Oryctolagus cuniculus: one gene and its partners. Each later gene encodes a partner of the first gene's protein in a complex. Links are inferred from orthologs where the notes say so. Each region holds a gene or a part of one and is shown in the gene's direction. Other genes may lie near its edges. The genes, in order: SF3B2, SNRPD2, SNRNP40, DHX16, SF3B4, DDX46 and SF3B5.

Region 1 (4,132 bases):
TGGGGTAAAACCAGGCCGCCTTGGTGTGTCCCCCGGCCCCCGCTCTGTCACCAGCAGCCCTTCCTCTCCTGCCCAGAGATCCCCCTTCCCGACAGTGGAGGCACGTGGCTCCGTGCCTGCAGCCTCAGCCGACCTGCCCCGGTGGGCTCTCCGGTTACAGGGAGCAGAAAGAACCTTCCCTCAGGCCGGGAGGGGTTCTGCCTGAGTGGGCTGATGTGCCAGAGAGAAGGGCACCGCTTTTTTTTTTTTTTTTCCCTGTGCTGTTGTGACTTCCCTGGGACTGGCAGCAGGAGCCGTGGGCTGGTGACCTAGTGGGTGGGAGGGAGGGGTGTGAGCCAGGCTCCCCCGGCCCGGTGCTTTGCTCTGCCCCCAACCCTCACCTTCTGGGCTGTGCTCCCGGCTCCCAGGTATTTCTCACTGAGGACAGTTAAATGCAGCTGGGTGGAGAAAGGATCTGAGGGTGTGTGTGTGTGCGCGCGTGTGGTGAGACCCTTTCGTGAGTCTTCCTGTCACTCAGCACAAGGACTCACACAGGCCCTGGAGACGCAGAGCTGGTGGCACAGGTGGAAAGTGAAATGCAGCCGATGGGGCAGCGCAGTCAAACGTGGAAGCTGGGCAGGCAGGGTCCCCTGCTCGCCTCTCCGTGAGCTCGGCAGGGGATGCCAGCGGAGTGGGGCTGACCAAGACCAAAAAAGATAACAAGTGATGTCGCTGAAGATCCGCTCTTCCGGTCACCTTTATTGGGCGCCCCTTGCACGCCAGGGGCTGCAGCCGTTGGATCAAGCCCCGACTCGTCTTTTTCAGGCGGATGTAAGTGCAAAGACCAAGACTTGAACAAGATGGAGCAGATTTGAACGCATTACGAGAACTCCAGGAAAGCCGGAGAGGGCGGGCCTGGAAGATGTGAAAGGGGCTTGGGTGGCAGCGAGCGCTCCACTCCGTCCGTGCGGGCCCGGGCAGACAATCGGCCCGACCTTCCGCTCCCGCCGCGGAGCGAGTCCCTCGGGACCCCCTGGGAACGCAGGCACTCAGGCCTCTCACGCTTGGCCCGGGAGTCGAGCCAGAGGCTGGAAGCCTGCGCTCGGGCGGGCGAGACGCAGAAAGCACTCCCTGGGGCCGGGACTCGCCGCCCGCGCGGCCCCGCTCCGGGCGCCGCAGCCCAGGTCTGCGCTCCGCGTCGGAGCCGCGGCCTCAGTGTACTACGACTCCCAGAAGGCTCGGCGGCCTCAGTACTACGACTCCCAGAAGGCTCGGCGGCCGGCCGGCGAGTCACGTGACAAGCCGAGCTCCCTCCGCCGCCGAGAGGACGTGGCGTGCGGCGCTGCCGGAAGTTCCGGGAAGTAGGCCCCGAGGGCGGCCGGAGCTTCCGGGCTGGTCGCGCGCCTTCCTGTGGCCAAGATGGCGGCCGAGCATCCCGAGCCTCCCAAAGGCGAATTGCAGTTGCCGCCGCCGCCGCCTCCCGGGCACTATGGCGCCTGGGCTGCCCAGGAGCTCCAGGCCAAGTTGGCAGAGATAGGCGCTCCGATCCAGGGTGAGGGCTTGGAGGGGCCGGGAGGGCACCGAGGGTCCGTGGAGACGCGGAGCCCGGTTACCCGGGAGACTGGGGGCGGGGGCGGGCCCGCGCCGCTGACCCGAGCCTCGCCCGCAGGGAGTCGCGAGGAGCTGGTGGAGCGGCTGCAGAGCTACACGCGCCAGGTGAGTGCCGGCGGCCGAGGGGGCCCGCCCGGCGTCGTGGTGGCCGGCCCCGGCGCGGAGGAGTCTCTGGCTCCCTGGTGGGCCGCCCTGGAGCCTCGCTCTCTCTCTCGCAGACGGGCATCGTGCTGAACCGGCCGGTCTTGAGAGGGGAAGATGGGGACAAAGCCGCGCCCCCTCCCATGTCGGCACAGGTAAGGGGGCGCCCCCTTCTCTCGCCTGCGTCGGGCTGCCGTGCGGAGGTGGGAGCTCCGGGTCCGGCCCGCTTCCCGGCGTCCGCGCCTTCGAGTTCTGGCCCCGGGGGTTCCGCTTGAATGCGGCCCGCCCCGCGTGCTGCCGTGTCGACCTCTTGGCCCGCCCCGCGTGCTGCCGTGTCGCTGTGCGAGACTGAACGCGCGGGTGGACTCTGCAGAGCTCGCAGCGCCTGGCACGCCGGTTGTCTCCCGTCCGTCACTTATGCAGGATTTGATGCTTTTCCTCCAGAGAGTGCCTCTGACCCATGGCTCTGCACTCCTTCAGCGGCCTTTGTCTCGCTCTTTCTTTTTTTTGACAGGCAGAGTGGACAGTGAGAGAGAGACAGAGAGAAAGGTCTTCCTTTGCCGTTGGTTCACCCTCCAATGGCCGCCGCGGCCGGCACACCGCGCTGATCCGATGGCAGGAGCCAGGTGCTTCTCCTGGTCTCCCATGGGGTGCAGGGCCCAAGCACCTGGGCCATCCTCCACTGCCCTCCCTGGCCACAGCAGAGAGCTGGCCTGGAAGAGGGGCAACCGGGACAGAATCCGGCGCCCCGACCAGGACTAGAACCCGGGGTGCCGTTGCTGCAGGTGGAGGATTAGCCTAGTGAGCCGTGGCTCTTTTTAAAAGTGTCTCTTTTTAAAAGGTTTATTTATCTACTTGGAAGGCAGAGTTAGAGAGACGGAGGTCTTCCATCCGCTGGTTCACTCCACAAATAACTGCAGTGACTGGGGCTGGGCCAGGCTGAAGCCAGGAGCCAGGAGCTTCCTCTGGGTCTCCCACGTGGGTGCAGGGGCCCAAGCACTTGGGCCATCCTCCACTGCTTTCCCAGGAGCACTAGAGGGAGCTGGATCGGAAGTGGAGCAGCCAGTGCTCAAACCAGCTCCTGTAGGGGATGCCGGCACTGCAGACGCTGGCTTAACCCGCTGTGTCCAGCGCTGGTCCCTCAAGTGTCCTGGAGTCGTGTGGAGCAGCTGTGTTCGTGGTATTTTTCCGTGGAGACAGTCGGTAGCTTTCTTTGGATGGTATCCCAGAGAACTTCCCGTTCTCTTCCAGTGCACAGAGCAGTCTCTTACAGAGCAAGAAATCACGTCTCTGTCTTTTTCCTTGATTTTGAATATTTTTTTACTTATTTATTTGAGAGGAAGGTTTATAGACAGAGACCGAGAGAAAGGTCTTCCATCCGCTGGTTCACTCCCCACGAGCCTGCACCCATACGGGCTGCTGGCATCACAGGCGGAGGCTTAGCCCACTGTGTCCCAGCACCGACCCCAGGATCTCGTCTGACTTGGAATCCCAGTGCCTGGCTCAGAGCAGGCTCCCAGCGGATGCTGGCAGAGGGCGTGGGCGAATGCCTCCTGGCTCACGATCGCATTTTCTCCACAGCTCTCTGGGATTCCCATGCCACCGCCACCCATGGGGCTCCCTCCTCTGCAGCCCCCTCCACCCCCCCCTCCACCCCCACCAGGCCTTGGCCTTGGCTTTCCCATGGCCCACCCACCAAATTTGGGGCCCCCGCCTCCTCTCCGCGTGGGTGAGCCGGTGGCGCTGTCGGAAGAAGAGCGGCTGAAGCTGGCGCAGCAGCAGGCGGCACTGCTGATGCAGCAAGAGGAGCGCGCCAAGCAGGTAGGGCGGGGGAGCCTGGGCCTGGCCTCGTGGGTCCCTGCGGAGAGAGTGGGCTCGGGGAGTTGGCGCCGGGACCAGAGGCAGAACCAGGCCGCAGGCTGGCGGCAGAGCTGGGGCAGGCGGGCCGTGGGGAGTTGTGCTGGTGTGAGCTTGTTTTCTCTCTTAAGCAGGGAGATCATTCACTGAAGGAGCACGAGCTCTTGGAGCAGCAGAAGCGGGTAATGCCCCCCTTCCTGACCTTTGACCTCACGGTCCAGGCCTTGGCTGTCACTTAACCGTGCTTAGTGTGCAGGACGAGAGGCACCGTTCGCGTTTTCTTTGGAGGCTGCCTCATCCCCAGCTAAATTCCAGCATCTCTTGAAGAATTCCGTTGTTCCTCAGCCCACAGGTTGGCAAACCACAACCTGTGGCCTGTGTCTGTCTGAGCTGTGAGCTGAAAATTTTTTTCCTATTTGTAAAGGGTTGTTGTAAGAAAAGCCCAAATCAAGAATGTCTAGCAAAGTCCTCACAACAGCCCGTGGAGGCTGATGCCCACTGGTCCACCACTAGTCCACACGACGTCCCCTTAGGTGCCTTGGAA
Region 2 (4,142 bases), on another chromosome or scaffold:
GCGGGTCAGCGCTGGGAGAGGAGACGGGGCCTCGTACCTTTCTGACTTGGAGACTGCCCGGAGTGCCCGGGGCTCGCACAACAAGCAGCGGTCGCAGGAAAGTGCCCCAGAGGCGCTGCAGGTCCAGCTGCCCCACCACCCTCCGCAGCCGGGCCTCCGGGAGACTTCCGGTCAGCGGCGTCTAAAGAAGAGAAGAATGAGCGCACTGCTCCCTCCCCCCAAAAGCCCGGGTGCCTCCGCGGCATGGGAGACTTCCAGGATCAAAGTCTCTCCAAGCCCACCCGGTTTAGCCTACCCCTCGATCGTGACATGGAAACCGAAGCCCAGCGAGGGGAAGGGAGGCTTCCAAGAGTTGCCTTTCGGGCGTGGAACCCAAAACCCTCATCCTGACGACTCCGGAGCCTTTCTTTCCAGGGGGCGCGTTGGGAGGGGGCTTGCGCTCCGGGGAGGCAGCCGGTGGCACCTGCGGCCAGGGCCCCAGGTAGCGCCACGTCAAACCGAAACTCGGAAAGAGGAAGCGGGGAGAGAGGGCCCTCCAGTGCCCGCGCCGCGCCCAGCCTCACCCGCGGCAGCTCCTCGGTCCTGCGGTGCCAGCTGCCCCACAGCGTGTAGAGGGCCGAGCCCACGGCCAGCGCCAGCAGCAGCACGGGCAGCAGCTGCGCCCGCGGGAGCAGGCGGCGCTTGAGCGGCGAGCTCGGCTCCATCAGGCCGCGCTCCCCGAGCCGGGGCCGGGGCCGCCCGCGGCCCCCGGGACGCATGGCAGCTTTGCCCTGAAACCGGCCAGGGACCGCGGATGGAGTTCAGGCCCAGCCAAGTCCCACCCCATGGAATCACAAAGCCAATGAGCGACAAGAGCGCCGGGCACCACCCCGGCCCGGCGAGCCGGGTGCAGCTCCCGAGGACAAGCCTCCCCGGAGGCCCGGGGTGTCGCGATTGGCTCCCAGAGGGGTTGCACAACCCCCAGAGGGGACGCGAAGGCGTGCGGCCCGCCCCGGCGGAGCGGGTAAAGCCAATGGGCAGCGCCCGGCCGCGGAAAGGGATTGGTTCCGCGGGACGGGAAGATCCAGCGAGGCGTCAGGCCCCGAAGCCGGGACCGGATTGGCTTCGTGGAGGCCGCGCCCCCGGAGACGGGGCTGGCGGGCATTTAGAAACCTCTGGCCGTTTCCCTCCTGCAGCCTGTCCCGCCTCTACCACGAAGCGGCGCGACTCGGACTCTCTGTCTTGGTCTCTCCATCCCGATGAACACCTGCCCGCTGTGGTCCTTAAAGGCCTCGAACTGCCGCTCGCGGCTTCGGCCCCCTCGCTGCGCAGCCGGCGGGGGTCGCTATGGCAACAAGCCACGCCCCAGCCCGCCGGGTGGGTTTGCGCAGGCGCCCACGGAAGTGGCCCGCCGGAAGCGGAAGTCCCGCCCCTCTCGCGCTCCATCCGCAGAGGCAGAAGCAACGCGGAGGAGGTTGGAGTGAGAGTGACCCGAACGCGGGGCCGGCACCATGTGAGGCCGGGCTGGGCTTAAGCGGCGGGCGTGAGGTTGTGGGTGCGAATGCGGCCGATTAGCGGCGGAAGGGGGCGGCAGCGCCGGGGGCGGAGCAGAGCTCTCGGGCGAATTTTCTGTAATGAGCGTGGGACCGGCCCCCGGGGCCTCTGGCGGACCCTGAGTCCGCGAGGGCCGCCAGCTCTGTGAGAGAACGGGCAGCGGCTCCTCCGCGTCATCAGCTCGCTGGAGTGAAGGTTAAGAAGCGGCTTCTCGAGTTACAGAAGCCGGGGAGCGGGCGCGGGCTTTTAGGCATAGCGATTGGGGGCGAGGGGCTTGGAACGTGAGCTGGGGCCGGGGGCCGTGGCTGCTCGGCCTGATTCGCAACGACGCCGCGGCTGGGGCTGCAGGCTCAGCCGGGGGCCCTGGGAGGGTTCCGAAGAGGCTGCCGTGAGTTAGGCTTGCGCACGGCCCCCAGGCTGCCCCTGGGTGCAGGTAGCCCTGGCACGGAGGTCGGATTCTGCAGCCGGCCGGGGGGAGGGGTACGGCCGGCAGACGCATTGATTCGGCCCTGCCGAGCGGGACTACGGCAGGCTGGTTTTTAAGCCGGCGCCCGAGTGCTGTTCTGAACACCGAGGCTGGCCAGCCCCGAGTGGCCGGGCAGGCCTTTCTCCTGTGACTGTTGCCCGGGCTCCACGGGGTCGCAGCACAGTCAGGTCCCGTTACGCTGTAACCTGGAGATGACTTAGCGAGCGGGAGGTGTGCGCAGGGTGTGTGTGTGTGCGTCCCCGCCATCCCACCTAAGGGATCCGAGCCGCTGAGGCTTCCGGGACCCGGGCAACGCGGATCCTGGGACCAGCCCCCTGTGGATGCCGAGGGACAAGCGTCCGATTGTGGGGCAGTGGGCGTCAGACGCCAGGGGGAGGAAGGTGGGGGCGCCGTAGAGCAAGTCCTGACAGTGGCTGCTGTCCGAGTTGCCGTGGGAGACGAAAGAGGAGTGGACGTCCGCTTCTGCCCGGCCAATGAGAAGGGCGGACTTACCCCCCAGGGAGTGGTGTGCCCTGGGTGCAGCAGGCTGGGGAGGGGGCCTAGCGGGAGCTGAGCCGGGGCGGGCGGGGTTGGGGATGGCTGGTGGCTTCCAGGTGCTGATGCCTAGAGACCAGGCCGGCAGGGCTGGGGGGCGGCCCCGGCTCCTCCCCTCACCCGCGGGTCCCTCCTCCCCCGTCAGGAGCCTCCTCAACAAGCCCAAGAGCGAGATGACCCCCGAGGAGCTGCAGAAGCGGGAGGAGGAGGAGTTCAACACGGGCCCGCTCTCCGTGCTCACGCAGTCGGTCAAGAACAACACGCAGGTGCTCATCAACTGCCGCAACAACAAGAAGCTGCTGGGCCGCGTGAAGGCCTTCGACAGGTGCGCGGCCGGGGGCGGGGCCTGGCCCGGGAGGGAGGGGCCTGCGGGCGGGGCTCCTCCGAGGCCGCGCCTCCCGCCCTGCCCTGCGGTGGGCGCCAGCCGGCCCCTGCTGTGCTGTCCCTCTGAGCGGCCAGGCGACCCTCAGCGCGTGCCGTTATCTTGTCCGCACAGTGGCAGGCAGTCGTCGCGGTGGATACAGAGATGCGGTGACTTAACACGCATGAAGTGCCTGGCCACAGGACACCTTTTGGTTCATTCATTGAAAGAGAAGCGGAGAGACGGAGAGAGCTCCCACCTGCTGGGCACTCCCCGGATGTCCACAGTGGGGCCAGAGCCGGGGGTAGCACGCAGGCAGGCTTTTAATATTTTATTTATTTTGAGAGGTAGAGTTATGGATAGAGACACAGAGAGGTCTTCCATCCGCTGGTTCACTGAGCTGAGCTGACCAGGAGCCAGGAGCTTCTCCTGGTCTACCACGTGGATGCAGGGGCCCAAGCACTTGGGCCATCTTTTGCTTTCCCAGGCCACAGCAGAGAGCTGGATCGAAGAGGAGCAGCCGGGCCTCGAACCGGCACCCTTGTGGGATGCTGGCGCTGCAGGCCAGGGCGTCAGCCCACCAACCACAGCGCCGCCCCCGTGTGTTCTGTGGTGTCTCACTCACGCACTCACCGTGCCCCTGGCCGTCCTTTGTGGTGCCCACAGCCTTGCAGAGGTGCCCCTGGCAGGGCTCGGTCCTGCAGGAGAACCTTCCAGGCGCTCTCCTGCCGCCCGGTTCTGCTGGTCCTGGCCTGAGAACACTGCGGCCAGCGGGCTGTTGCCTGCCCCCTCAGCCCCTCCCACCCGCGACTGAATGCGCAGTGTGTGCAGGTGGGGCGGGTTCATTCAAACAGGCACCTGATGACGGGCGATCTCCTTCCTGCGCCCTCCCTCCAGGGACCGCCCCCCTGGTGGTCACAGATCCGCAGGAGTGTGGTGTGACTGAAACATCACATGTGTTGGAAGATGGGGGCTTCTTAGCCTTTTTTTTTTTTTTTTTTTTTTTTTTGACAGGCAGAGTGGACAGTGAGAGAGAGAGACAGAGAGAAAGGTCTTCCTTTTGCCGTTGGTTCACCCTCCAATGGCCGCCGCGGTCGGCGCGCTGCTGATCCGATGCCAGGAGCCAGGTGCTTTTCCTGATCTCCCATGGGGTGCAGGGCCCAAGCACCTGGGCCATCCTCCACTGCACTCCCTGGCCACAGCAGAGAGCTGGCCTGGAAGAGGGGC
Region 3 (3,500 bases), on another chromosome or scaffold:
CAGCACGGTGCGCCGGCCGCGGCGGCCATTGGAGGGTGAACCAACGGCAAAGGAAGACCTTTCTCTCTGTCTCTCTCTCTCACTGTCCACTCTGCCTGTCAAAAAAACAAAACAAAACAAACCACTATGCCCCAACACCAGAGCCATTGTAGTTGTCATTGTTGGTTTGTTTTGCGACTTTTTTTTTTTTTTTTAAGATTTATTTATTTTTTGAGAGGCAGAGTTCCTCATAGAGAAAAGAAGAGACAGAGGTCTTCCATCCACTGGTTAACTCCCCGAATGGCCAAAAGGGCTAGAACTGGGCCCAGCTGAAGTCAGGAGCCAATAGCTTCTTCCGGGTTGCCCACATGGGTGCAGGGACCCATATGGGACACCAGCTCCTCAGGCAAAGGCTTAACCTTCTATGCCACAGTGTTGGCCCCAGTTTAGTGACTTTTTAAACTAGTTTTGTGAAGACTGTGTTGTTTGTCCTGCATAACTACTGAAGTCTTGTTCCATTATTTTAGTTATCAACTAGTGATTCTTTTATCACCTAGAACAAGTAAAAAAAACTCTCCCAGTCTTTGTAGATTGGCTCTGCATGTATGCTTAGAGCCATTTCATAGAGGAGAAAACTAAGTCACATGGAGTACACTTTTCCAGGTTACTAAGTGACAAAGCTAGGATTCCTGTCTAAGTAATTTAGGTCTGAGTCTCCACTCTGCAGTAAGATAAATCAAGACATGCAATAAAAATTTTAGCTGCAGGGTTTCAAGACAAACCCAGATCCCCGGCAGACCGTTTTACACAACATAAACCTCCAGGGGGCATTATTACCAGCAGTGTGCAAGTGTGCCATTTATTTATTTATTTGAGAGGCAAAGTTACAGAGTGAGGAAAAGACAGAAAGTCTTCCAACCACTGGTTCACTCCCCAAATGGCGCAGTGGCCAGAACTGGGCAGATCCGAAGCCAGGAGTCAGGAGCTTCTTCCGGGTCTGCCACACGGATGCAGGAGCCCAAGCACTTGGGTCCTCTTCCACTGCTTTCCCAGACCATAGCAGAGAGCTGGATTGGAAGAAAAAGAGAGGCTGGGACTCGAACCAGTGCTCATATGGGATGCTGGCATTGCAGGTGGGGACTTAATCCACTGCGTCACAATATCGGCCCCCAATAACATAACTTTTAAAAATCTATATAAAAATATTTTGTTCTGCCTCTCGTTAACAGTTCTCAATTTCCTCTCTGAGCTAGAACTGTATCTTAGTGTTTTTTCCTTCATGATGAGACAGAGAGGTGAGCCAACAAACATTTACTGAATGATTTAATAAAATTACTGTTTAGGGGGCCAGAGTTGTGACAGTGATATCTCATTTTGGAGTGCTGTTTTGAGTCCCAGGTGCTCTATTTTAGATCCACCTCCCTGCTAATGCGCCTGGGAAAGCCGCTGAAGATGGCCCAAGTATTTGGGCTCCTGTGACCAATGTGCGAGACCTGGATGGAGTTCTGAACTCCTAGCTTTGACCCAGACCAGTCCCAGCTGCTATGGTCATTTGAGAAGTGAACCAGCAGATAGAAGATCTCTCTGTTTCTCACCATTTTTGTAACTCTGTCTTTCAAATAATTAAATAGATCTTTTAAAAAATTACTGTTTGGATAGGAGAGGATACTAACTGACTTTAATTATAACTAACAGTAAACCATCTACTATGAATGTAGTTATGAAATTATGACTAGAACTAAACATGAAAACGTTTAGTTTTTTTTTTTTTTTTTTTTTTTTTCTATTTTGAAAGACAGTTACATAGAAAGGTAGGGATACAAAGAGAGAGCGGTCTGGCCAGCGCCGGGGCTCACAAGGCTAATCCTCCGCCTGCGGCCCTGGCACCCCAGGTTCTAGTCCCGGTTGGGGCGCCAACTTCTGTCCTGGTTGCTCCTCTTACAGTCCAGCTCTCTGCTGTGGCCCGGGAAGGCAGTGGAGGATGGCCCATGTGCTTGGGTCCCTGTACCCGCATGGGAGACCGGGAAGAAGCACCTGGCTCCTGGCTTCAGATCAGCACAGCGCCGGCCATAGCGGCCATTTGGGGAATGAGCCAACAGAAGGAAGACCTTCTTCTCTGTCTCTCTCTCACTGTCTATAACTCTACCTGTCAAATTAAAAATAAATAAATAAATAAAATCTTTGAAAAACAAAACAAGGTAGGGTCAGAGCTGTGATGCAGTGGGTTAAGCCACCACCTGTGACACCAGCATCCCATATGAGAACCAGTTCAAGTCTTGGCTGCTCAGCTTCCAATCCAGTCCCAGCTAATGTGCCTGGGAAAGCAGCACAAGATGAGCCAAATGCTTTGCCCCTGCCACCTATGTGAGACACCCAGATAGAGTTCCTGGCTCCTAGCTTCTGCCTGTACTAGCTTCAGCCATTTTGGGGAGTAAACAAGTAAATGGAAGATCTCTCACTCTCCCTTGCTCTCCTTTCTCACTGTAACTCTGCCTTTCAAATAGTAAATATGTGGGTTTTTTTTTTTTTTTTTTTTTTTTTTTTTTAGGCAGTGGTCTAATATCTTTCTCCTAAAGAATATACGAAGTAAACTTATAGAGGACTTCTTCCAAGGGCATGTTGATTAACAGTATTTTATTCTAACTTTATTACCAAAGGAGTCTGAAAATATAACCAAAATAGTTTATTCCACCAGCCTTCAAATAATTTGGCAAAATTGTGATCATTTTTTACCATGTGTTGCTAGGACATCCAAGAAAGTTTCTGAATGAGGTTCTTGTTCTAGATGTGTTCATGTCTACCAAGTATGTTGTGCAGTTACTTCTCAAGGAGATGTTACTGATAGACTGTCCTATTCCTCTGCTTTAGCTTTGGGATATCCGGAAGAAAGCAGCCATCCAGACATTTCAGAACACATACCAAGTGTTAGCTGTGACCTTCAATGACACAAGTGATCAGATTATTTCTGGTGGAATAGACAATGATATCAAGGTATGTGATGTTCGTGTTGTATTTCACTTTGACCTGCATCCACTTACAGAAGCAAATCTTTGAAGACTTTTGGGATTGTGGTAGCTTTGTGCTTAATACCAACTAAAATTACAATAATAACTTAGAACTTTCTTTCTCTTCGGTCCTCATTGTCTTCCTCAATCAAAGGTTTCATTGCAGCCCATATAAATGCTGTCAGGGACCAGGCGGTTCATGTGCCGCATGCATCCCCTGGGTGGAGGACTAGTGGAAGGACGGGTGTCCTCCACTCTTGCTGTGTTTTTCTTTTTGACACTATTTAAATTAAGTTTTCTAAGCTTCTAGTAAGAATGAGAGAAAGTAATACTTTTGGAGAAGGAGGCAGTGGGCCGTGTGGCAGTACAGTGTAGCTTAAACCTTCAACTAATTTGACTTGGGTTCTAATCCCACTTCTGCTGTTTTCTAGTTTTGTGATTTCAAATGGGTTCTTTAACTTGTTCACTTTAAGCTTATGTTTTCTCACATGAAGAGTGAAGGTGATAATAATAACA
Region 4 (3,957 bases), on another chromosome or scaffold:
GCCGAGCTGTGCTGATCTGGAGCCAGAAGCCAGGAGCTTCTTCCAAGTCTCCCACGCAGGTGCAGGGGCCCAAGGACCTGGGCCATCTTCTACTGCTTTCCCAGGCCACAGTAGAGAGCTGGATGGGAAGTGGAGCAGCCGGGACTAGAACCGGCACCCATATGGGATGCTGGTGCTTTAGGCCAGGGTGTTAACCCGCTGCGCCACAGCGCTGGCCCCAGCTTATCTTTCAATAAGCAGCCACCAGTGAATTAATCAAACTGACAGCACAAACGCTGAACACAGTTTGCCCATTTCAGATAATTTTGTCTTTTTTTTTTTAAGGAAAATTTTTTCTTTATTTGAAAGACAGTTACAAAGAGAGGGATAGACAGAGAGAGAGAGAGAGAGAGAGAGAGAGAGAGACGTATTCCATCTGCTGGTTCACTGCCCAAATGGCTGCAAGGGCCGGAGCTAAGCCAATCTGAAGCCCAGAGCTTTTTCAGGTCTCCTTTGTGGGTGCAGGGGCGCAAGGACTTGGGCTATTCTCTGCTGCTTTCCTGCATTGGGAGCTGTATCAGAAATGGAACAGCTGGGACTCAAACAGGCACCCATATGGGATACTGGTGCTTTAACCTGATGTGCCACAGCGCCGGCTGGCCCAAATTTTTTCTTGCAACAGTTTCCCCAGTTCCAACTTTCTTCCTGCTTGGAACTCCCCTTATAGCTAACCTGTATTCACTTTTGTTGCAGATACCATTTCTAGCAAAGGTCAATCCTGCTCAGCACCTGCTAATCTTTCACAGCATGAACATGATCTCATTTGAAATAAAGCCGGCAGCCCGCGTCCCCTTACCTTGAACTATTTTAGACCCGGTAGAAAATATGTACTTTTACTTATTTATTATGTGGCTTACCTCCCTTGAACTCTGAATGTAAACTCGATGTTTTGTCTGATTTACCGTCTGCAGTATCCCCAACATTTTACACCGTGCTTAAAACGCCTTTTTTTAGGCGCTCATTGAATTAATCTCCTTTGAACGAATGAATTAGCGAAGCCTCCACTGACCATCAGGGGGCGATAGAGAAATCGGGCAGGGAAGGAAAATGTGCTACCCAGAGCGAGATTTGATTCTGCGAGATTTGAACTCGCGTAGCCACCGTAGTGCTTAGGCCGGAAACGAGCATCCTCTTCCGGGCTCGGCGGAAGGCGGGTTTGGACTGTTGGAAACCGAACCCTGAGGTTCTAAAGCAGCTCCGTCGCGGGGCTAAGGCTCCGGCCCGGTGCCCCGGGCCTGCCACAGGCCCGGCCGCCGGCGCGGCTGCTCCGGACGCCTCAGCGCTGAGGACCGGGCAGGTGGGTGGCCATGGCGACGCCGGCGGGGCTGGAGCGCTGGGTTCAGGAGGAGCTGCACTCGGTGCTGGGACTGAGCGAGCGGCACGTCGCCCAGTTCCTCATTGGAACCGCGCAGCGCTGCGCCTCGGCTGAGGAGTTCGTGCAGCGCCTACGAGACACCGACACGCTGGACCTGGGCGGGCCGGCGCGGGACTTCGCTCTGAGGCTCTGGAACAAGGTGTCCGAGGGGCGGGGCAGGGGAGGGCCCCGAGTTACGCGTCCGGGGGAGGCTGGCCCGGTTGTCCATCGGGGAGATAAATAAGCTAAAGGCACAGTCATCCTTTGCCGACTGTAGGCTGGGTACTGTGCCTGGTGCCGGGCGTCCGGCTCGGTGGAGAGCATCCGGCAGGTCTTACATGGGGTGGGTTGAGTGCTGTAAAGCAATGTTCCTCCAGCTTCAACCTGCGTAGGAGTCAGCTGTGGTCCTTGTTCAAATGCCCGTGGTCCGCGGGCCGGGCTGTAAGTGGCCAGGCTCTAGAAGAGGTGGTTGGGAAACACTGCGGGAGAGCAGAAGAGGCGGCGGGGACAGTGTTCAGCAAACTCAGGCCCAAGGATCCCCGGGGATTTGTCAAGTGGAGAAGGGGGAGGGAGCGAAGGTGTGAGCGGTGAACTCCTGGAGGATCGCTGGCGTCTGTCCGGGTAGTCCTCCTGCCCAGCCGTTGTCTGTCGGACAGAGCAGGGCCCCATGTGTGCACAGAGTGGGAGTGTCCCAGAACGGTAGAGAGCCTGGTGCGGCTCCGCCTGCGGACCTGTGGCCGGTGTATCCTGCCATCTACAGGTGATGTGGTGATGTGTGACAGCCGGTGTCACATTGCGAAGTTTTGGAGTTTTTTTTTTTTTTTTTTCTTTTTTTAAGATTTATTTTATTTATTTGAAAGACAGAGTTACAGAGAGAGGTAGAGACAGAGAGGTCTTCCATCCACTGATTCACCCCCAGGTGGCCGCAATGGCTGAAGCCACACCGATCCGAAGACAGGAGCTTCTTCCAGGTCTCTCACGTGGGTGCAGGGGCCCAAGGACTTGGGCCATCTTCTACTGCTTTCCCAGGCCATAGCAGAGAGCGGGATCAGAAGAGGAGCAGCCGGGACTAGAACCGGCACCCATATGGGATGCAGGCGCTTCAGGCCAGGGCTTTAACCTGCTGCGCCACAGCGCCGGCCCCACATTGCAGAGTTAACCCTTGTAGCCTGTCAGTCCTTGTGTAGGAATGACTTAAATCCTTGGGAAAAGCAGAACTATAAGAAAGTGGCCAAGTGATTGAGAACTGGGTGTGGGGTTGTAAGCTCTGGGAGGGCAGAGATTTTTGTTCATTCTGGATCCCTAGTACCTAGCAAGTACCCGACAGGTGGGATAGACCTCATTAAACGTGTGTTAAACAAGGAGGCTGTGGTATAGGGGGTGAAGCTGCCGCCTACAGCGCCGGCATTCCATATGGTACTGGTTCGGGTCCCAACTGCTCCACTTCTGATTCAGCTCTCTGCTAATGCACCTAGGAAAGCAGTAGAGGATGGCCAAGTCTTGTGCCCCTGCACCCACTTGGGCGTCCCGGAGAAATGTCCTAGCTCCTGGCTTAGATAGGGTTGTGGCCATCTGGGGTGTGAACCAGCAGGTGGAAGACCTTTCTCTCTGCCTCTCTGTAGCTCTGTCTTTCTTTTTCTTTTCTTTTTTTTTTTTTTTTTTTTTGACAGGCAGAGTGGACAGTGAGAGAGAGAGACAGAGAGAAAGGTCTTCCTTTTGCCGTTGGTTCACCCTCCAATGGCCGCCGCGGCCGGCGCACTGCGCTGATCCGATGGCAGGAGCCAGGAGCCAGGTGCTTTTCCTGGTCTCCCATGGGGTGCAGGGCCCAAGCACCTGGGCCATCCTCCACTGCACTCCCTGGCCACAGCAGAGAGCTGGCCTGGAAGAGGGGCAACTGGGACAGAATCCGGCGCCCCGACCGGGACTAGAACCCGGTGTGCCGGCGCTGCTAGGCAGAGGATTAGCCTAGTGAGCCGCGGCGCCGGCCTGTAGCTCTTTAAAATCAATCAGTCAGTCTTTAAAAAAGTGAATGACGGAAAGGAAGTTCAGAAACTGAGGGGCTCTGTTGAGATGAGAGCAGGATGAAGTCATGGGGAGGAGAGGGAATGCTGGCTGATCTAAGATCAAGTCCTTAAGTCAGGGACAGCCAGGGGGGTGAGCAGCGGTCAGGAGTTGTTCACGCTGCTTATCCCTGACAGGTACCGCGGAAGGCGGTGGTAGAAAAGCCAACTCGGGCGGCGGAGCGAGAGGCCCGAGCCCTGCTGGAGAAGAACCGGTCTTATCAGCTGCTGGAAGACAGTGAAGAGAGCAGCGAGGAGGCCGTGGGCAGGGCTGGGAGCAGCGTCCAGAAGAGGCGCAAAAAACGGAAACACCTGCGGAGGAAGCGCCAGGAGGAGGAGGAGGAAGATGAGGAGGAAGAGGCTCCCGAGAAAGACAAGAAGGCAGGGTAGGTCAAGCAGGGCGAGGGAGGGTGGGCTGGCGGGTGAGGGGCGGACCCGTGGTTTAACCCTGAGCGGGTCTGGGGCTGCAGGGGCAGCGGGCAGCAGCCGGCCAAGCCCGAGTCA
Region 5 (4,032 bases), on another chromosome or scaffold:
CTTAGAATTGAGTTTGTTGTGGACGGTGGTGCTAATCTTTAATTCTTGTCCTTTTATTTGGTTCCTGAAGCTGTTGTTTCCTGGGAGTTGAAGAATTAAGAAACAAAACAATCCACAATGTAATTGCTTTATAGATAGCCAGCTATTTAAGTTGTGACACCAGAGACGCTGTTCACCAGTTCCAACAGTATGGCCTAAAGACCTCATTCTTGCCCCTTCTTGCTGCCTATTTTAATTCCAATTTCTGTTTCTTCCTGTATAGTTTCTTTTGGAAACAAAGTGGATATGAAACACACCCTCTCTTCCAACTGTACATTTTTGTAGTGGCATTTCTATTTAAGTTCATTAAAGCACAATATTTATACACATTGCTGGCACTGATTCTTGGATTTGAATGAAGGATCCTAGATAGCAAAGACTTGAGAAAAGGTCCCCATCGTATGATTTCTAAGAAAGGAATGGATTTGGACCACGTGAGGCTCAGAATTCTCATCTCCCATTTAGAGGCAGACAGCCAAGAGCATATTATGACGTTGCTGGGGCCAGAAAGTGCTCTTGGAGTTGCAGCTTTGGTCACACTCCATCCGGGGAGCCTCAGATTCTGCTCACACTCCGGCTCAGACATTACCTCGAGCCAGCCAGAGGCATGAGGCCAAAACTAAGACGCTTGTGGAGCAGAGTCCTTAGGTTGAGGGGTCCCTGAGAACCTTTTCCTTTGGGTGACAAAAGGATCAGCTGGCTACAAAATACACGAAGAGTTACTATTTTTAGCTTGAAAGAGAGGAACAGACAACTTCCATCCGCTGGTTCACTCCCCCAAATGCCTCTAACAGTCGGGGCCATGCCAGACGCAGACCGGGAGCGGGGAACAATCCAGGTCTCCGACATGGGTGGCAGGGACCAAACTTGGGGTTTCTGCTGCCTCCCAAGGTGTGCATTTACAGGAAGCTCGAGTCGGGGGAAACCGGGGCTCGGACCCTGTAATTCTTGACTGAGGATGCTGTGGCTTAACCGCTGTGCCAAACGCCCGCACCGGTGGGAGACGTCTGGCACTGCTTTCAGAGGGCCTGCGCTTTCCTGCCCCGCCCTCCTCGCTACGACCGCTCGCCCCGGAACCTCGGCGCAAATCCAAACGCCTCTGAACCGGGACGCCACAGCACCGTCAAGTCCCGCGGGATCCTAAGATGGCCGCAGCCGCTTCCGGCCCCGCCCCCGTCCGGGCCCCGCCCAGCGTCACGTAAGTCTTCGCCCCGGAAGTGGAAGTAGTGACCGCGGCCAGAGGGCGGAGCCGCTGCTTGGAGGCGGCGGGATTCTTTTCGCCATGGCTGCCGGGCCGATCTCCGAGCGGAACCAGGGTGACTGGGCGGGGAGACGAGTCCGGAATGGGCCCGGGAGGGTGGGAAGCCCCAGCTAAGGCCAGTAGCGTCTCCAAGGCGGGAAACTGGACCCCCGTCCCCCGGAGGGCGCGAGACTCGCTTCCGTGGCTGGTGCGGGCGGGTTGGCCGGGTGCAGGCTGAGGCCTGGACGTGTGATGTTTCGTGCAGTCCCCCTGCTGCCTTTTCTGAGTGGGACGGAATTTGCAGCAGACACTAAAGTGAACTTCAGAAGGGGCTCTAGGTCCTGCGAAGAGGACGATTTAGGGCTTATTTGGATGCTTTCCACCTCCCCCTTTTCGCTTCTGTCCCACATCCCCGCCTGCAGTTCCTCTAACTGGGTTCCATCTTTATGTCCCGGTCAGCTCCTTTCCTGTCATATTCGTCCCCATCCTAAATTCCTGCATCCTCCCTCCAGATGCTACTGTGTACGTGGGGGGCCTGGACGAGAAGGTTAGCGAACCTCTGCTGTGGGAGCTCTTCCTGCAGGCAGGACCGGTGGTCAACACTCACATGCCGAAGGACAGAGTCACTGGCCAGCACCAAGGTGAGTCCGCGCCAAGAGGCCACTTTATGTATCTGACAGCTGCTCCTGAGGGTCCCAGCGGTATTTATACTTGTTTCAGAATGAGCGACCAGAAGATTGCTTCCTCTTCTTTTCTCTTTTTTAAAGATTTATCTATTTACTTGGGAGGCAGAGTTACAGACAGAGAGAGGGAGAGACAGAGAGAGGCCTTCCATCCACTGATTCACTCCCCAAATGGCCGCACTGGCCGGAGCTGGGCCAGTCTGAAGCCAGGAGCTTCTTCAGGTCTCCCACCCTGGTGCAGAGACCCAGAGACTTGGGCCATCTTCTCCTGCTTTCCCAGGCCATCAGCAGGGAGCTGGATCAGAAGTAGGGTAGCTGGGACTTGAGCTGGCGCCCATATGGGATGCTGGTGCTGCAGGCAGATGCCCAACCCACTGTGCCTCAGCACCGGCCCCAGATTGCTTTCTCTTAATCCTCAGTTCACAGTTTGTTTCTAAAATCATTTTCTTGTTCTTTGTGATTGGAGGGTGGGTGAGTTTTACCCAGTTTCGGGTATCTTCGCTCTAGTTGCTAATCTCCTCTCTGCCTGCTTAGGCTATGGCTTTGTGGAATTCTTGAGTGAAGAAGATGCTGACTATGCCATTAAGATCATGAACATGATCAAACTCTATGGGAAGCCAATACGAGTGAACAAGGCATCAGCTCACAACAAAAACCTGGATGTCGGGGCCAACATTTTCATCGGGAACCTGGACCCGGAGATTGACGAGAAGCTGCTTTACGATACTTTTAGCGCCTTTGGGGTCATCTTACAAACCCCCAAGATCATGCGGGACCCTGACACAGGCAACTCCAAAGGTTATGCCTTTATTAATTTTGCTTCATTTGATGCCTCGGATGCAGCAATTGAGGCCATGAATGGGCAGTACCTCTGTAACCGCCCCATCACCGTGTCTTATGCCTTCAAGAAGGACTCCAAGGGTGAGCGCCATGGCTCCGCAGCTGAACGACTTCTGGCAGCCCAGAACCCACTCTCCCAGGCTGATCGCCCACATCAGCTGTTTGCAGATGCACCCCCTCCACCCTCTGCTCCCAACCCTGTGGTATCATCACTGGGGTCTGGGCTTCCTCCACCAGGTAAAGCTTTTGGTTCGCAAATACGTTTGTCTTGGGGCTGCAGTGAGGAGAACAAAGAACCTGGAAAGGGAAGATCTCCTGAGTCAGTGGGTGATGAGAAGGGAGTTAGGAGGTGGTGGGTGGGAGGGGTGTGAAGAACTCTGTCGGGCTTCTCCAGGGAGGTAGGATTATTTGAGTAGTGCAACATGGCTTGTGACCTTAGAGCACTGGGAGGAGGGGGCAAGAACTCACCCTGCATAGACAGGTCAAACTGGGACAGGTTCTTTAAAGGCATTCTTTGCCCACCGCCATTAATCCTTCTTCTGATTTCTATATAGGCATGCCTCCTCCTGGCTCTTTCCCACCCCCAGTGCCGCCTCCTGGAGCCCTCCCACCTGGAATACCTCCAGCCATGCCCCCCCCACCAATGCCTCCTGGGGCTGGAGGACATGGCCCTCCATCAGCAGGCACCCCGGGGGCTGGACATCCTGGTCATGGACACTCACATCCTCACCCCTTCCCACCAGGTGGCATGCCCCATCCAGGTAGGTGTTCTTGGCTGGGAAAGGGAGGGATGTGCGTGAACGAACAAAATGCTCTCTTTAGTTTACTACTTACCACCTGTCCTGTTGTGTAAGTCTTTCTGCAGAGTAGCCTATACTTGCTGTTTGTTTGTTCCCTGTTGTTTCCCTTCTCTCTGACTCAACCCCAGAGCAGTGGTCTAGGGGATACTTCGACTTCTTAGATGGTTTGCCCTCTGCTGTATTTGAAACTAGCTGTGTACTCCTGTTTGAAATTCTTGTCTGTTTTTTTCATCTGTTTTTTGGATTCTCCACCTGACACCTCAGTTTCAGTCAATTTGATAAACTGATTTTTCTCTGGGTCTAGATTAAGTATACACTGATGTCTCCTAGTCTGTATCTCTAGTTCATGATTATTAACAATCTAAATCCATAATCCTGTTGCTCAGTGGACAGATCCACTTTTGTACCTCTCCCCTTCAGACCTTTCTCT
Region 6 (3,500 bases), on another chromosome or scaffold:
TGTAAGTTCTTTAATTATGTTAGATGTCAGTAAATAAGATATCCTAGATTCTGAGTTTTTGAAAATTTAGCATTCTTAACCCAGAATTTTTTTATAATTGTCTTTGGATGATTTCTCTAGTGTGCATTTGGGCTTAGTTTTATGGAGCATTATTCTGGCTCATCTTACCAAAGTTATCGTAAGAGTGATTATTTTTTTAGAAAGCTTTTATTTAATAAATATAAATTTCATAAGTACAACTTTTGGATTATAGCAGTTTTTCCCCATCCCCAAGATTAATTATTTTTTTTCTTTCTTAACCTGCTTTTATTGGGTGAGTTATTGGGCACACCAAACAATCCTCTGCATGTAGAAGCACATACTATGTGTTTCAAACTAACATGGATTCAAACAGTGGAGAAAATGTTTTTAAATATTTCCCGTAGCATTTTCCTGGAAGCTTTCTTGTTTATTTTTCACTAACAGTTAATTTCTGTAGCATACCCGAGGAATGGTTTATGAATCTGAACAGTATTTTGAAGACTGTGAGTAAGTCATTTCTGTTATTGAACGCCAGGTTCCCCATCTGGAGGAGGTGCTCGGTAATGGTAATGGTATAAAGGAAACTCCTAAGAAGCACAAAGTATGTCAGTTATCCTGGAAATACTGTACTATATCTGATACAAGTGTTCCTTAATCATTAGGGATATATCTAAAATCTATTAGAATATTTAAGATAGAACATTCTTAGTTTTCTCATCAAGAAAAAGGAAGATGTATTAAACTGTTAGTCTTAAATATATTCTCATACTGGTCCATTGCACATATGGTGGGAAATCTGCATTAGAAAGATGCTTTATTTTTGTTTGTATTTTTAGGATTTATATTGTTTATTTGCAGAGACAGAGATTGACCTTCCATGTGCTGGTTCACTCCCTGAATGGCCACAAAGGCAGGGGCTGGATCAGGCAAAGCCATGGGTCTGGAACTCCGTCCCGGTCTCCATTTGAGTGGCAGGGACCCTGCACTTGAACCACCCTCTGCTGCTTTCTCAGGCACATTAACAGGGAACTAGGTTGGAAGTGGAGCAGATGGAACTTGAACCCGTGCCCGTATGGGATGCTGGTGTTGCAGGCAGCAGTTTACTCTGCTGCGCAACGCTGGCCTTTTAAACAGAGTTAGTGACTTTGCAGAGAAGAACTTGGGGTGGGCTTCCTGGCCCTGTCTCTGTGCCCCTTTGAGATTTGACTGTGGATCTTCTCCCCTGCAGGATGTGATGCAGCAGGCCACCAATGCAATCCTCAGAGGCGGCACCATTCTCGCACCTACTGTGTCTGCGAAAACCATCGCAGAGCAGCTTGCTGAGAAGATCAATGCCAAGCTCAATTACGTGCCTTTAGAGAAGCAAGAAGAGGAGAGACAGGATGGTGGACAGAATGAGTCTTTTAAGAGATACGAGGAAGAATTAGAGATCAATGACTTCCCACAGGCAAGTAACAAGTTTTGAACTTCATCATGAGGTAGAAACTCTTGATTCTTGAGCAGCAAAAATCCCTTCTTTTAGACCTGTGAAAATTTTAATGGCTACTTACTTTCTACATAGATGAGGGAAACAATAGAAATTTTATTTTTTATTTTTGCAAATGTGTCCTAGGTAGGTTAGAAGCTAAATGGAGTCATAATGCAGGCATATATTAATGATAATCTTGACATTGTGGATAATGTAATATTAGCCACCCTACTGTTTGTCAGCACATCAGGTTTTAAAAATCCTGTTACAATGTGTTTTTCCTCCCCACCCTTTGTTTCAGACTGCCAGGTGGAAGGTTACCTCCAAGGAGGCTCTGCAGAGAATCAGCGAATACTCGGAAGCCGCAATCACAATCAGAGGAACGTATTTCCCTCCTGGCAAAGAGCCCAAGGAAGGAGAGCGCAAAATCTACTTGGCGATTGAAAGTATGTCCTGTAGGATTAAGGTTGATGTCGGTGTCCTAGACGCAGGAGAACGTGAGGTCACTTGCAGAGAGGGGGGAGATAAGGAGCAGTTCTAAGAAACGATAGTAGAAAGGATAGTTTCCTAAATCACTGGGGGAGAGTTCGGTAGAAGTTTGGTATCTGTACAAAGGTGACTGATTTGTTGTGAGACTCTCTCCGTTTTGACAGCTCAGTCAAATTTGAAGTCTCTGAAAGGACTGACTCATTCATGCTTCTGTGGGGAGTGTTCTGGCCATAATTTAGTTTAGAAAGTGAATCAGCAATATTAGGCCATATGATGATTTTTTTTAGATTTATTTATTTACTTGAAAGGCAGAGTTAGAGAGAGAGTAGGGAGAGATAAAGAGATCTTCTATCAGCTGATTCACTCCCCAAATGGCCACAACAACCAGAGCTGGGCTGATCTGAAGCTAGGAGCCAGGAGCATCTTCCATGTCTCTGCATGGTCTCTGCGTTTTTGTGTGAGGCTACTGAAGTCAGCAAGTGATTTTACAGAGCTCCTTAAATGTCTGGGGAGAGATAAAAAAAAATCTCTTAGTCTTTGCAGGTGTTCTGTATTGGGGCAAATTTTGCGCTTTTAGCCAGACAGCTTGTAACTCAGCGTTAGCGTTCACTGTCTGCTTACACAGTCTAGGGGTCAGCCATCTCAGGTGACAGCCAAGAGCCTTCCCAGGTCTTTTTCGAGCCCAGACACAGTCCTGGACCTACACACGGCCTTCTAGGTTCCTACAAATGTATGGCAGCTGTACAAAGCCCTTAGTCAGAGCTTTTTGTGTTTGCCCTGTTACCTGCCCCAGGGTAGTGTCTAGTGCCCTTGCAGCTGAGAGTGCCTTTGTCCCCCTCTAGTGTTGGCTCTCTCCTGGGAGAGTCCAGGTTAGGTGAAGTGCAGGCAAGCCTTTTGAGCAGAGAGCCACCAGACAGCTGGCTTGGAGAGTAGCGTGCTAGATGGTCCTGGGCGTGTGGACTGCTGTCTTCGAGGCTGTGGGTAGGCAGTGGGGAGCTGGCAGAGGTTGAAGGGCAGGTGGGGTCAGAGTTAGTTACACACTAAATGCTCTGGTCCCGAGACATGGTTGCTATTTCCTTTTCTTCTTTCTTTTGTGTTTGGATATTAGAAAGTTTTAATTGGTTTCCAGAGCCCAAATAAAGTTTTTTTTGTTTGTTTGTTTGTTTTTTTTGACAGGCAGAGTGGACAGTGAGAGAGAGAGAGAGAGAGAGAGAGAAAGGTCTTCCTTTTCCGTTGGTTCACCCCCCAATGGCTGCTGCGGCTGGTGCGCTGCAGCCAGCGCACCGCGCTGGTCCAAAGCCAGGAGCTTGGTGTTTCTCCTGGTCTCCCATGCGGGTGCAGGGCCCAAGGACTTGGGCCATCCTCCACTGCACTCCTGGGCTACACAGCAGAGAGCTGGCCTGGAAGAGGAGCAACCGGGACAGAATCCGGTGCCCCGACCAGGACTAGAACCTGTGGTGCTTTCGCCGCAGGCGGAGGACTAGCCTGTTGAGCCGCAGCGCCGGCCTAAAGTTGTATTTTT
Region 7 (2,395 bases), on another chromosome or scaffold:
CCATGCCTATCAGCTATTGTTTATGGATACACAAACTTTCAGCAATTGGAAAACAGAATGATTGACATTAAATCCAGGACAGTGTCCAAGAGATGAGGGAAGGGAACGCGGAGAACGTTTATTTGCAGAATTTATCTCTTAAAAATCAAAACAAAATCAGGACAAATACGGCAAAATGTCAAGGTTTGATACACCTAGAGGATGAAGCCAAAGATATACCTTATAAATTTTCCACACTTTAGGAATGAATTGTCAAGCTGAAAAGAGCAAAACAAAACTGCTTTTTAAAGTTCTTGCTCTCCGGGCAGCGTTCCTCTCTTTGGCTGTAGTTGTCTCTCTATCCCTCAACTGTTTTTTGGAGAACACAATCTATCAGGCTGTACGAATATCCAAAAAGGATATCCTAAGATAAGTATGGGTTTGTTTTTTCCTCAAGTATTTCTACCGCCGTGAATTTTAAACCAAAAGGTAAAACATAAAGCGAAAATCAGATGCAAAGGAGGAGCCAACCGAAGGCAGACGCGTCGCCGCGGGAACAAAGCCTTTCCCGCGGGCGCTAACGGCTCCGAAGGGGACGCGGGCGCGCGCGGCACCTGGCCGAGTGCGGGCCGGGGTCGTGGGGGTCGGCGTGGAGTCGCCGGGGGCCACCAGCCCGAGAGGCGAGACCGAAGGAGTGTGCGCCGGGGGCGCCCAAGCGACTCGGCCCCGGGGCTGTGCAGGGTCACCGAACGGGAACGGCGGCCCCGCTAGAGCGTGGGACCAGAGGTCGCGTCTGCCGACCTCAGTAAGCCACCCGATTGTGAAGGGGCTACCGTGCCGCCTCGTCAGCGCCTAATTACACCAAGGGTTTATTTTCTTGGTTGCCTGTGCCACTGGCCCACTGGCCCACTTTCTCTTAGCACCGGGCCGACAACGCATGCTCCCCGCCTCTGGGGTTCTGCCCTCCATTCAGCTCTTAAACCGCGGTCTCGGAAGAGACCACAAATCCCAGCATGCAAGACGCTACGTCAGTACAGGGCCACCCACGGACCACCAAGTGGACCATCATGCAACGCTCTCCGAGGGCGGGGGGCGGGACTCTGTTAAAGGGGCGGGACAGTTTCAGTGTCGCTAGGGCAACTCCAATACGGCTTCAAAATGTGCTTCCGCTTCCGCGTCCTCCGCCACTCCGTCGCTGTGACGCAATTTCTCTGCGACTGAGCGAGGCTGCCGGTTCCGTGTGCTGGCCTTTCTCCGGCGGGAAACCCGAGACCGGTTCCTAACCCTCGTGCGACTTCTGACTTCGGAGCGAAAGGGAAAGCGGCAAGATGACAGACCGCTACACCATCCACAGCCAGCTGGAGCACCTGCAGTCCAAGTACATCGGCACGGGCCACGCCGACACCACCAAGTGGGAGTGGCTGGTGAACCAGCACCGCGACTCCTACTGCTCCTACATGGGCCACTTCGACCTTCTCAACTACTTCGCCATCGCGGAGAATGAGAGCAAAGCGCGAGTGCGCTTCAACTTGATGGAGAAGATGCTGCAGCCTTGCGGCCCCCCCGCTGACAAGCCCGAGGAAAACTGAGACGGCGCCTCCTCCAGCGAGCCTCCCGATCGCCGGCGTTGCCCGCGCGTTCCTGTCTCCAGTGGACTGGTTCTTCCGCGACTCCTTGCTTCTCCGGCCTTCCGGGTGCAGAAGTGCTCGCCGAGGTGTCCCGCCGGTGCTGTCTTCACGTGGATCCCTCGGGACGCAGCACCAGGACCGCCGGGGCTCCCTGAGAACTGCGGGTGAAGAGGTCCGAGAGCTGGCGGGCGTTGGGGAAGACGGCACTGGAGTGAGGGGATTTGGAGGCTCGTGTTTGACTTAGTTGATTGTCGCGTTGCCTTTTTCATAAAGTTTAGAATCTGTTAAGTCTCTTGGTGTGATCTGTTTGTGTTCCAGGGGAGAAGGCTGGGGAGGACTCGGAACCAAAGGTTCTGTGCGTGTGCAAGTAGGAGAGGGTGGGTGGAGGGCACAGAACCAGCCTGCCTTGCCAGGCACTGAAATCCGCCCAGCATGCCCTTTGGGGAGCTTCAGAAAGCCCCTGGAAGGTTAAGCCTCCGCCTGCAGTGCCAGCATCCTATATGGGCAGCTGGTTGGAGGCCTGGCCCCTGCACTTCTGATCCAACTTCTTGCTAATGCTCCTGGGAAAGCAGAGAAGGGTAGCCCAAGTGCTTGGGCCACAGGCACCCATGTGGGAGACCCGAAAGAAGCTCCAGGTTTCAGTCTAACCCAGCCCTGGCCATTGCTGCCATCTGGGGAGTGAACCAGCAGATGGAAGATTCTCTTTCTCCGACTCTGTATTTCTAACTTTAAAATAAATGAAATTTTATTATTTTTTTTAATTTTTTTATTTTTGACAGGCAGAGTGG

Evidence for each region.
Region 2: SF3B2 (region 1) and SNRPD2 share a complex: the UniProt entries of both Homo sapiens proteins name them as parts of the minor spliceosome. The link is inferred for Oryctolagus cuniculus from reciprocal best matches to the Homo sapiens genes SF3B2 and SNRPD2.
Region 3: SF3B2 (region 1) and SNRNP40 share a complex: the UniProt entries of both Homo sapiens proteins name them as parts of the minor spliceosome. The link is inferred for Oryctolagus cuniculus from reciprocal best matches to the Homo sapiens genes SF3B2 and SNRNP40.
Region 4: SF3B2 (region 1) and DHX16 share a complex: the UniProt entries of both Homo sapiens proteins name them as parts of the minor spliceosome. The link is inferred for Oryctolagus cuniculus from reciprocal best matches to the Homo sapiens genes SF3B2 and DHX16.
Region 5: SF3B2 (region 1) and SF3B4 share a complex: the UniProt entries of both Homo sapiens proteins name them as parts of the SF3B subcomplex of the 17S U2 SnRNP complex. The link is inferred for Oryctolagus cuniculus from reciprocal best matches to the Homo sapiens genes SF3B2 and SF3B4.
Region 6: SF3B2 (region 1) and DDX46 share a complex: the UniProt entries of both Homo sapiens proteins name them as parts of the 17S U2 SnRNP complex. The link is inferred for Oryctolagus cuniculus from reciprocal best matches to the Homo sapiens genes SF3B2 and DDX46.
Region 7: SF3B2 (region 1) and SF3B5 share a complex: the UniProt entries of both Homo sapiens proteins name them as parts of the SF3B subcomplex of the 17S U2 SnRNP complex. The link is inferred for Oryctolagus cuniculus from reciprocal best matches to the Homo sapiens genes SF3B2 and SF3B5.

What each region holds. Positions count from the first base shown.
Region 1 is NC_091432.1:5,766,885-5,771,016, reverse strand, and holds the start of SF3B2 (splicing factor 3B subunit 2), read left to right. Parts: upstream 1-1,332; 5' UTR 1,333-1,398; coding exon 1,399-1,531; intron 1,532-1,648; coding exon 1,649-1,695; intron 1,696-1,808; coding exon 1,809-1,886; intron 1,887-3,312; coding exon 3,313-3,552; intron 3,553-3,719; coding exon 3,720-3,770; intron 3,771-4,132. UniProt on the Homo sapiens protein: Component of the 17S U2 SnRNP complex of the spliceosome, a large ribonucleoprotein complex that removes introns from transcribed pre-mRNAs.
Region 2 is NC_091449.1:11,275,486-11,279,627, forward strand, and holds the start of SNRPD2 (small nuclear ribonucleoprotein Sm D2), read left to right. Parts: upstream 1-1,342; 5' UTR 1,343-1,490; coding exon 1,491-1,492; exon of another isoform or gene 1,493-1,728; intron 1,729-2,699; coding exon 2,700-2,879; intron 2,880-4,142. Other genes in the region: QPCTL (glutaminyl-peptide cyclotransferase-like protein), read right to left, coding at 38-181, 564-758. UniProt on the Homo sapiens protein: Plays a role in pre-mRNA splicing as a core component of the spliceosomal U1, U2, U4 and U5 small nuclear ribonucleoproteins (snRNPs), the building blocks of the spliceosome.
Region 3 is NC_091438.1:141,089,577-141,093,076, forward strand, and holds part of SNRNP40 (U5 small nuclear ribonucleoprotein 40 kDa protein), read left to right. Parts: intron 1-2,847; coding exon 2,848-2,970; intron 2,971-3,500. UniProt on the Homo sapiens protein: Required for pre-mRNA splicing as component of the activated spliceosome. Component of the U5 small nuclear ribonucleoprotein (snRNP) complex and the U4/U6-U5 tri-snRNP complex, building blocks of the spliceosome.
Region 4 is NC_091436.1:139,758,642-139,762,598, forward strand, and holds the start of DHX16 (pre-mRNA-splicing factor ATP-dependent RNA helicase DHX16), read left to right. Parts: upstream 1-1,157; 5' UTR 1,158-1,346; coding exon 1,347-1,553; intron 1,554-3,591; coding exon 3,592-3,839; intron 3,840-3,923; coding exon 3,924-3,957. UniProt on the Homo sapiens protein: Required for pre-mRNA splicing as a component of the spliceosome. Contributes to pre-mRNA splicing after spliceosome formation and prior to the first transesterification reaction.
Region 5 is NC_091438.1:48,025,975-48,030,006, forward strand, and holds the start of SF3B4 (splicing factor 3B subunit 4), read left to right. Parts: upstream 1-1,232; 5' UTR 1,233-1,321; coding exon 1,322-1,355; intron 1,356-1,791; coding exon 1,792-1,920; intron 1,921-2,496; coding exon 2,497-3,039; intron 3,040-3,356; coding exon 3,357-3,563; intron 3,564-4,032. UniProt on the Homo sapiens protein: Component of the 17S U2 SnRNP complex of the spliceosome, a large ribonucleoprotein complex that removes introns from transcribed pre-mRNAs.
Region 6 is NC_091437.1:23,025,437-23,028,936, forward strand, and holds part of DDX46 (probable ATP-dependent RNA helicase DDX46), read left to right. Parts: intron 1-1,249; coding exon 1,250-1,468; intron 1,469-1,790; coding exon 1,791-1,935; intron 1,936-3,500. UniProt on the Homo sapiens protein: Component of the 17S U2 SnRNP complex of the spliceosome, a large ribonucleoprotein complex that removes introns from transcribed pre-mRNAs.
Region 7 is NC_091436.1:24,439,768-24,442,162, forward strand, and holds SF3B5 (splicing factor 3B subunit 5), read left to right. Parts: upstream 1-1,163; 5' UTR 1,164-1,307; coding exon 1,308-1,568; 3' UTR 1,569-1,895; downstream 1,896-2,395. UniProt on the Homo sapiens protein: Component of the 17S U2 SnRNP complex of the spliceosome, a large ribonucleoprotein complex that removes introns from transcribed pre-mRNAs.